Linked DNA regions of Saccharomyces cerevisiae S288C. The protein of the gene in region 2 interacts with the protein of the main gene of each other region in a biochemical or structural test. Each region holds a gene or a part of one and is shown on either strand. Other genes may lie near its edges.

Region 1 (5,192 bases), on a different chromosome or scaffold from region 2:
TCCTCCCAAAATTGGGGTACCTACTAAAGCTAATTCCTCGCAGGGATCGCTTATGTACTCACCAAGTGTGGAAGCTTTGCCTATCGACCCTGTCGTCCCGCAAGTTCATGAGACGGGATACAATGATTTTGGTAACAAACATTCTCAAAAAAGTATGCCTGAAGATGAATCTCACACATCACATGATAATAGCAATGCTGATCAAAATACATTAAAAGACTCTGCAGATGTTACAGATGAAACAATGGATATTGAAGGACCTGGCTTCAACGATGTGAAGAATCTTCTTCCTATGGAGCCCAACCACCAGCCTACGTCTACAGTAAATCCTATACAAACTATTAGTGACGATATCCAACCGATTCTTCAAACTAACGTGGAGGTCCGGGGTACTGATGCATCGAAAATGGAAAATTCACTTCCCTCCATTGAAAATGAAAGAAGTAGCGAGGAGCAGCCAGAAAACATTTCAAAATCAGCATCATCAGCATATTTACCATCAACTGGTGGATTGTCACTCGAAAACAGACCGCTAACTCAGGATGAAAACAGTATCTCAGAGACAGTTCAATCCACATACTTGCCAGCAGGAAGTATTTCAATGGAAGCTAAACCAATTTCTCAAGTGCAAGATGTTCCAAGAAATGTTAATAATAAAGCATCCAAACTTGTGGAGCAACATATGGCACCACCAAAGCCAAAAAGTACTGACGCAACCAAAATGAACTACTCACCATACGTGCCTCAATCAACTGCCGCTAGTGCAGATGGCGATGAATCAACGATTCTGAAAACATCGCCTGCTATATATGCAAGAACTCACCAAGCACATGCATCCAATCCATCACAATACTTTCCTTTGGTCAACCAAGCAAATGAAACTGCTTCATTCGAATTATCTGAATCAACATCCCAGGCACAAAGTAATGGAAATGTTGCTTCAGAAAATAGATTCAGCCCAATAAAGAAAGCCGAAGTCGTCGAGAAAGACACTTTTCAACCTACTATTAGGAAGGCTTCAACTAACCAATACAGGGCTTTTAAACCGTTGGAATCAGATGCGGATAAATACAATGACGTTATTGAAGATGAATCCGATGACGACAATATGTCTACTGATGAGGCAAAGAACAGAAAGGAAGAAAAAAAGAATGTGAATATGAAAAAGGAAACAAAACCAAGTAACAAGGACATAGATGACAAGTCTAATGGTTGGTTTGGTTGGTTGAAGAAAGATACTGGCGACAAAAAAGTGTATAAGGCCAAGCTAGGTCATAAAAACACACTATACTATGATGAAAAATTGAAACGTTGGGTGAATAAGGACGCAACCGAAGAGGAAAAACAAAAAATTATTGAAAGTTCGGCACCACCACCTCCTCCAATCGTGAAACGTAAAGATGGCGGCCCAAAGACAAAGCCACGTTCAGGCCCCATCAATAATTCCCTACCTCCAGTACATGCCACATCAGTTATTCCGAACAATCCAATCACTGGTGAGCCTTTGCCGATCAAAACATCCCCTTCTCCTACAGGACCCAATCCAAACAATTCTCCATCACCATCCTCTCCCATATCAAGGATTTCTGGCGTAAACTTGACTAGCAAAAAGGCAAACGGTTTGGATGATTTATTGAGTTTGGCAGGAGGACCCAAACCAGCAAGTACGAGAAGGAAGAAGAAAACAGCGAGAGGCTATGTTAATGTAATGGATAACATACAATAATTATAGTAATACGTTTTTCTTTCATGGTACCCTTATGCCTTCCCTTTTCTTGATGTATATTATATACTTATAAAAACCGTAGTAAATTTTATTAAAACAATGATTACAGGAATCCGTATTTAGGTTATGCATCGTTGTCAGTAAGAAATCAGATGAATGCGATCTGAAACTTTGCTTATACTAATATTATTCTATCATACCTCATTTTCTTGCTTCGATTAATGCAGGACGCCGGTTCCGGGTTAGGATCACCGAGAAACAGAAAGCAAGCAAGGCTTCAGTTACAATTCGAAGAAGTACTAAGGGGGTTGTCGTGGAAAAATCTTGAATCAGAAAGCGGCTGACTGGAGCATTACTAGGTTCATTACTCACTGGTTCTACTCATGAAACCTTACTTATTTGACCTAAAGCTAAAAGACACAGAGAAGCTGGATTGGAAAAAAGGCCTCTCCTCATATCTCAAGAAATCATACGGCTCCTCACAATGGAGAACATTTTATGATGAGAAAGCTACTTCAGAACTGGATCACTTAAGGAATAATGCAAATGGAGAACTAGCACCTTCTTCATTGTCGGAACAAAATCTAAAATATTACTCATTTTTGGAGCATCTTTATTTTCGCCTGGGTAGCAAAGGATCAAGATTAAAAATGGATTTCACTTGGTATGACGCAGAATACTCATCGGCCCAGAAAGGATTGAAATACACGCAACATACGTTAGCATTTGAAAAGTCTTGTACTTTGTTCAACATTGCTGTAATCTTTACCCAAATTGCGAGGGAGAATATCAATGAGGACTACAAAAACTCAATCGCAAATTTGACAAAAGCTTTTTCCTGTTTTGAATATCTATCAGAAAATTTTTTGAACTCACCTTCAGTCGATCTTCAGTCAGAAAACACTAGGTTTCTGGCTAATATTTGCCATGCAGAAGCTCAAGAATTGTTTGTCTTGAAATTATTAAATGATCAAATATCATCCAAGCAATATACATTAATCAGTAAACTTTCTAGAGCCACGTGTAACCTCTTTCAGAAATGTCACGATTTTATGAAAGAAATAGATGACGATGTGGCCATTTATGGTGAACCCAAATGGAAAACGACAGTTACTTGCAAACTGCATTTCTACAAATCGTTAAGCGCTTATTATCACGGTTTACACCTTGAAGAAGAAAATAGAGTTGGCGAAGCAATTGCTTTTCTCGATTTTTCTATGCAACAATTGATTTCATCCCTTCCATTCAAAACGTGGTTAGTGGAATTTATAGACTTTGATGGGTTTAAAGAAACTTTAGAAAAGAAACAAAAGGAGTTGATTAAAGATAACGATTTTATATATCATGAAAGCGTTCCAGCCGTTGTGCAGGTTGATTCCATTAAGGCGCTCGATGCAATAAAATCTCCAACATGGGAGAAGATATTAGAACCATATATGCAAGATGTTGCAAATAAATGTGACTCTTTGTACAGAGGAATTATTCCCCTAGATGTCTATGAAAAGGAAAGTATTTACTCAGAAGAAAAAGCGACGCTGTTGAGAAAGCAAGTTGAAGAAACTGAGACAGCAAATTTGGAATATTCTTCCTTCATCGAATTTACAAATCTACCCAGGCTCTTGAGTGATTTGGAAAAACAATTTAGTGACGGAAATATTTTCTCGAATACGGATACACAGGGACAATTGATGAGGGACCAAATTCAGACATGGTGTAAATTTATCCAAACAAATGAATTTAGGGATATAGAAGAACAGATGAACAAAATTGTTTTCAAAAGGAAACAAATTTTAGAAATCCTTTCTGCCTTACCCAATGATCAAAAAGAAAATGTTACAAAACTAAAATCTTCTTTAGTAGCTGCTTCAAACTCAGACGAAAAATTGTTCGCATGCGTAAAACCACATATTGTCGAGATCAATCTATTGAATGACAATGGAAAAATATGGAAGAAGTTTGACGAATTTAATCGCAATACGCCTCCACAACCTAGCCTATTGGATATCGATGATACCAAAAACGACAAGATATTAGAGTTGTTAAAACAAGTAAAGGGCCATGCGGAAGACTTAAGAACATTGAAAGAGGAACGTTCGAGAAATTTGTCTGAACTAAGAGACGAAATCAACAACGATGATATCACAAAATTATTAATTATTAATAAGGGGAAATCCGATGTTGAGCTCAAAGATTTATTCGAGGTGGAACTGGAGAAATTCGAGCCTTTGAGCACAAGAATAGAGGCGACAATTTACAAACAATCTTCAATGATAGATGACATCAAAGCCAAGCTAGATGAAATTTTTCACCTTTCAAATTTCAAGGATAAATCTTCTGGGGAAGAAAAATTTTTAGAAGATCGTAAGAATTTTTTTGATAAGCTGCAAGAAGCAGTGAAATCATTCAGTATTTTTGCATCCGACTTGCCAAAAGGAATAGAGTTCTATGATTCATTATTCAATATGAGTAGAGACTTAGCAGAAAGAGTGAGAGTTGCAAAGCAGACCGAGGATTCAACAGCTAATTCTCCCGCTCCTCCCCTCCCTCCACTTGATTCTAAAGCGTCTGTCGTTGGGGGTCCTCCATTACTGCCCCAAAAAAGTGCAGCCTTTCAGTCATTATCTAGACAAGGGCTCAATTTAGGGGACCAATTTCAAAATCTCAAAATAAGTGCCGGCAGTGATTTACCTCAAGGACCCGGTATTCCACCAAGAACTTATGAAGCTTCGCCATATGCTGCAACGCCTACTATGGCAGCCCCACCAGTACCACCGAAACAATCGCAAGAGGATATGTACGACTTGAGAAGACGTAAAGCAGTTGAAAACGAAGAACGTGAACTGCAAGAGAATCCTACGTCCTTTTACAATAGACCCTCTGTTTTTGATGAAAATATGTACTCCAAATACAGCAGTTAGGTGCATTTCTTATTTCTTAATTTTATTGTAGCTTTTTTTTTTCAACTAATATGATAATTATATATATACCGGATTTGTTGAAAGCCAGTTTTGCAAGGATAAAGAAACTGCGATTTAGCAAAAGTCCCTTTAATGCTTCTTCCATCTTTGATCTACTTTCTTTTGAGTATTAGGTGTATACCATACACTTTCAGATCCAAAATCAGCCTCGGACATTTTTACAAACGAAATAAGGCCATTATCCATAATAGCGATAATAAAGCTCCGATATCCCGTCTTCAATCTACGATTTTGCTGTATGTGAGGTGGGTACGCCTTTCTCTTCTTTTTCGTGCTAGACTGTGCAGTTTTTTTTTGAAAACTTGCTTTCATAGACGACTCACTTTTTTCAGTTTGAGATTTCGCGCTCCTCTTATGAATATATTCCTTTCGTGGGATATCTTCAACGTAGGAGTTTGTCTCCCAATCGTCATCATCCTCGATTTCGCTTAAAAATTCGAATTTATAATCAAGTGAGGAAAACATAGATCGCAGCTCTTTATAGGTAG
Region 2 (3,351 bases):
CAAATCCACAAACTGTGAGGTAGCGGAAATTCTTTTACACTGCGACTGGGAAAGGTACATAAATGTTTTAAGTATAACAAGAACACCAAATGTTCCTAGTGGTACCAGTTTCAGCACCAGAACGAGGTACATGTTCCGATGGGATGACCAGGGGCAAGGTTGCATATTAAAAATAAGTTTTTGGGTGGACTGGAACGCATCCAGTTGGATCAAGCCAATGGTAGAGAGCAATTGTAAAAATGGACAAATTAGCGCCACTAAGGACTTGGTAAAGTTAGTCGAAGAATTTGTAGAGAAATACGTGGAATTGAGCAAAGAAAAAGCAGATACACTCAAGCCGTTGCCCAGTGTTACATCTTTTGGATCACCTAGGAAAGTGGCAGCACCGGAGCTGACGATGGTACAGCCGGAGTCGAAACCAGAAGCTGAGGCGGAAATCTCAGAAATAGGCAGCGACAGATGGAGGTTTAACTGGGTGAACATAATAATCTTGGTGCTCTTGGTGTTAAATCTGCTGTATTTAATGAAGTTGAACAAGAAGATGGATAAGCTGACGAACCTCATGACCCACAAGGACGAAGTTGTAGCGCACGCGACTCTATTGGACATACCAGCCAAAGTACAATGGTCAAGACCAAGAAGGGGAGACGTGTTGTAACAGAGTAATCATGTAATATTGTATGTAAGGTTATGTATGTTCGTATGGTATGGAAAAAAAAAAAAAAAAAGGATGCTATGTGGAGAATGTAAGGCGTGGTAGCTCCGGATAATTCAGTCTGTAGGCTTCATCACGGGCAGTGGCCTGACTCTGAGAGCTTGCTCCGGTATTAAGTTGTGCGTTTGAAATTTTCTGGAAAAAAGAAATTGATTGGTTGAAGCTATACTCGTCGAAAGATTTCTTCGGCAGTGGTTGTTGCTCCACCTGCACGGGAGTTGTGTTTGCGTTTATGTTCGGCTTGGCTATATTATTAGCGAGTGATGTTTGCAATTTGCTGTATTGAGAATCAATTTGGGTGCGTAAGCTTTCAATAATTTTGCAGACCGCAGGCACTTCCAACTTTATGAGTTGCAGGTATTCTCTTTTATGAATATACGATGACGACGATGACGACGACGCATCCATGCGCAAAAGCTCAGGGTGTCTAGATAGTTTGTTAGTCAATAAATCCACATATCTAAAATAATAAATAAACGACAGCGACAAGTCGTTGGCCTGGAACGCACACTGTGCCTTTTCCAATATGCCGATGCATGTTTTCAGGTAAATTCTCAATGGTATCGCCGGATTGAAGCGATAATCCTTAGCGTCCTGAACCAATTGCTTACTAGACTTCATGACCTACCGGGGCCAGATAAAGATGCGGAAGGAAGAGAAAAAATGTATAGTGGTTGGTGAACCGCAACAATAATTCGTGCCAACACTTTAATCGAAGCAAAAATTGTCTTGTATGTTATTAATATTATCTATCTAACCATTGATTTACGTATAAAACTGTCGATGCTCATCGCCTAGCAATGAAAAAATTTTTTCTTTTTTTTTTCATTATTTCTCTTTGTTGCGTACTTTTTTTCATTGCGTTTCGCGGCAAAAGCGATTCGAGTTGACTGGAAGTGTGTTATACTATAAAAAGTGTATATGCCTATTTTTGGTTCTGATCTTTACTTTACTGTTAAGTACTGGCTGAGGCAGTAGACTCTGCCTCTGTTACGGCAGCGGTATTCGCCTCGGCATCAGCAGCCGCCCACGGTAGAGTAGGTTCTGTTGTTTTGACGTTTGCCAAGGTACTGTCCAAATGCTCCTTCAGCAAGGCCTCATTACTTTCCTTCTCCGGACCCACCGATTGCGTGATCTCCTGTACACGGTTCAAGAACTTGTTCAAATTGTAGCCCGCAGCAGCATCAGAGACTTCTTGTGTGTAAGGGACACCCCTCAACTCCTTGACTCTTCTTTTGTGCACTTTGCCCTTTAAATGCGTTTTTAACGCTATAGCAGTCTCCATGTATTTGGCACAGTGTATGCAATAGTGCTGACCAAGGCCCGGTTTGGTTTCATCCAATGGCTGGTTCAGAAGCTTCTGTACTGATTCCTTGGTGGACAAATCGTTATAGATCAGGTCCAAGTCTCGTGTTCTTCTTTTAGTCTTGTATCTCTTCACCGAATATCTACCCATGATGCGCTATTGTTTTATCTTCACTTGTCTGTGTGTTTAACTGCCTTTCAATTCACCTCATCTCATCTCCCGCTACTTTCCATATATAAAAGCAAAATTAATTTGCTTTTTCCCCTGTCAGTATAAAAAAATTTTCCGCAGGATATAGAAAAAAAAGAAATGAAATTATAGTAGCGGTTATTTCCGTGGGGTGCTTTTTTACACCTGTACATCTTTTCCCTCCGTACATTTTTTTTATTTTTTTTTTTGGTTTTTTTTTTTCGATATTTTTCCCTCCGAAACTAGTTAGCACAATAATGCTGACTAAGGAAACTTTTCATCTCAGAATTGATGGTCAGTTTGGTTTCTCTAGAGAATAGTTTATAAAAAGATGTTGATGTGGAGCAACCATTTATACATCCTTTCCGCAAGTGCTTTTGGAGTGGGACTTTCAAACTTTAAAGTACAGTATATCAAATAACTAATTCAAGATGGCTAGAAGACCAGCTAGATGTTACAGATACCAAAAGAACAAGCCTTACCCAAAGTCTAGATACAACAGAGCTGTTCCAGACTCCAAGATCAGAATCTACGATTTGGGTAAGAAGAAGGCTACCGTCGATGAATTCCCATTGTGTGTCCATTTGGTTTCCAACGAATTGGAACAATTGTCTTCTGAAGCTTTGGAAGCTGCTCGTATCTGTGCCAACAAGTACATGACTACTGTCTCCGGTAGAGATGCTTTCCACTTAAGAGTCAGAGTCCATCCTTTCCATGTCTTGAGAATCAACAAGATGTTGTCTTGTGCCGGTGCGGATAGATTGCAACAAGGTATGAGAGGTGCTTGGGGTAAGCCACACGGTTTGGCCGCTCGTGTCGACATTGGTCAAATTATCTTCTCTGTCAGAACCAAGGACAGCAACAAGGATGTTGTCGTTGAAGGTTTGAGAAGAGCCAGATACAAGTTCCCAGGTCAACAAAAGATTATTTTGTCTAAGAAGTGGGGTTTCACCAACTTGGACAGACCAGAATACTTGAAGAAGAGAGAAGCTGGTGAAGTCAAGGACGACGGTGCTTTCGTTAAGTTCTTGTCCAAGAAGGGTTCTTTGGAAAACAACATCAGAGAATTCCCAGAATACTTTGCTGCTCAAGCTTAAGTTCTTTTCAAACATTTGAACTAACTTAAAAGAGAAATTTTTTT

What was found.
Region 1: the proteins of RFU1 (region 2) and BRO1 form a complex in vitro, tested with the Saccharomyces cerevisiae proteins (2 studies listed by BioGRID).

The regions. Positions count from the first base shown.
Region 1 is NC_001148.4:391,929-397,120, forward strand, and holds BRO1 (Bro1p), read left to right. Parts: upstream 1-2,109; coding exon 2,110-4,644; downstream 4,645-5,192. Other genes in the region: COPII coat assembly protein SEC16, read left to right, coding at 1-1,726; tRNA splicing endonuclease subunit SEN54, read right to left, coding at 4,774-5,192. UniProt on the Saccharomyces cerevisiae protein: Class E VPS protein involved in concentration and sorting of cargo proteins of the multivesicular body (MVB) for incorporation into intralumenal vesicles. Fusion between endosomes and the vacuole will then target the cargo proteins to the vacuolar lumen.
Region 2 is NC_001144.5:280,286-283,636, forward strand, and holds RFU1 (Rfu1p), read right to left. Parts: upstream 1,337-3,351; coding exon 734-1,336; downstream 1-733. Other genes in the region: LAM6 (Lam6p), read left to right, coding at 1-658; BUD20 (Bud20p), read right to left, coding at 1,671-2,171; 60S ribosomal protein uL16 RPL10, read left to right, coding at 2,642-3,307. UniProt on the Saccharomyces cerevisiae protein: Inhibitor of the DOA4 deubiquitinase involved in the regulation of protein degradation by the proteasome and maintenance of a normal level of free ubiquitin.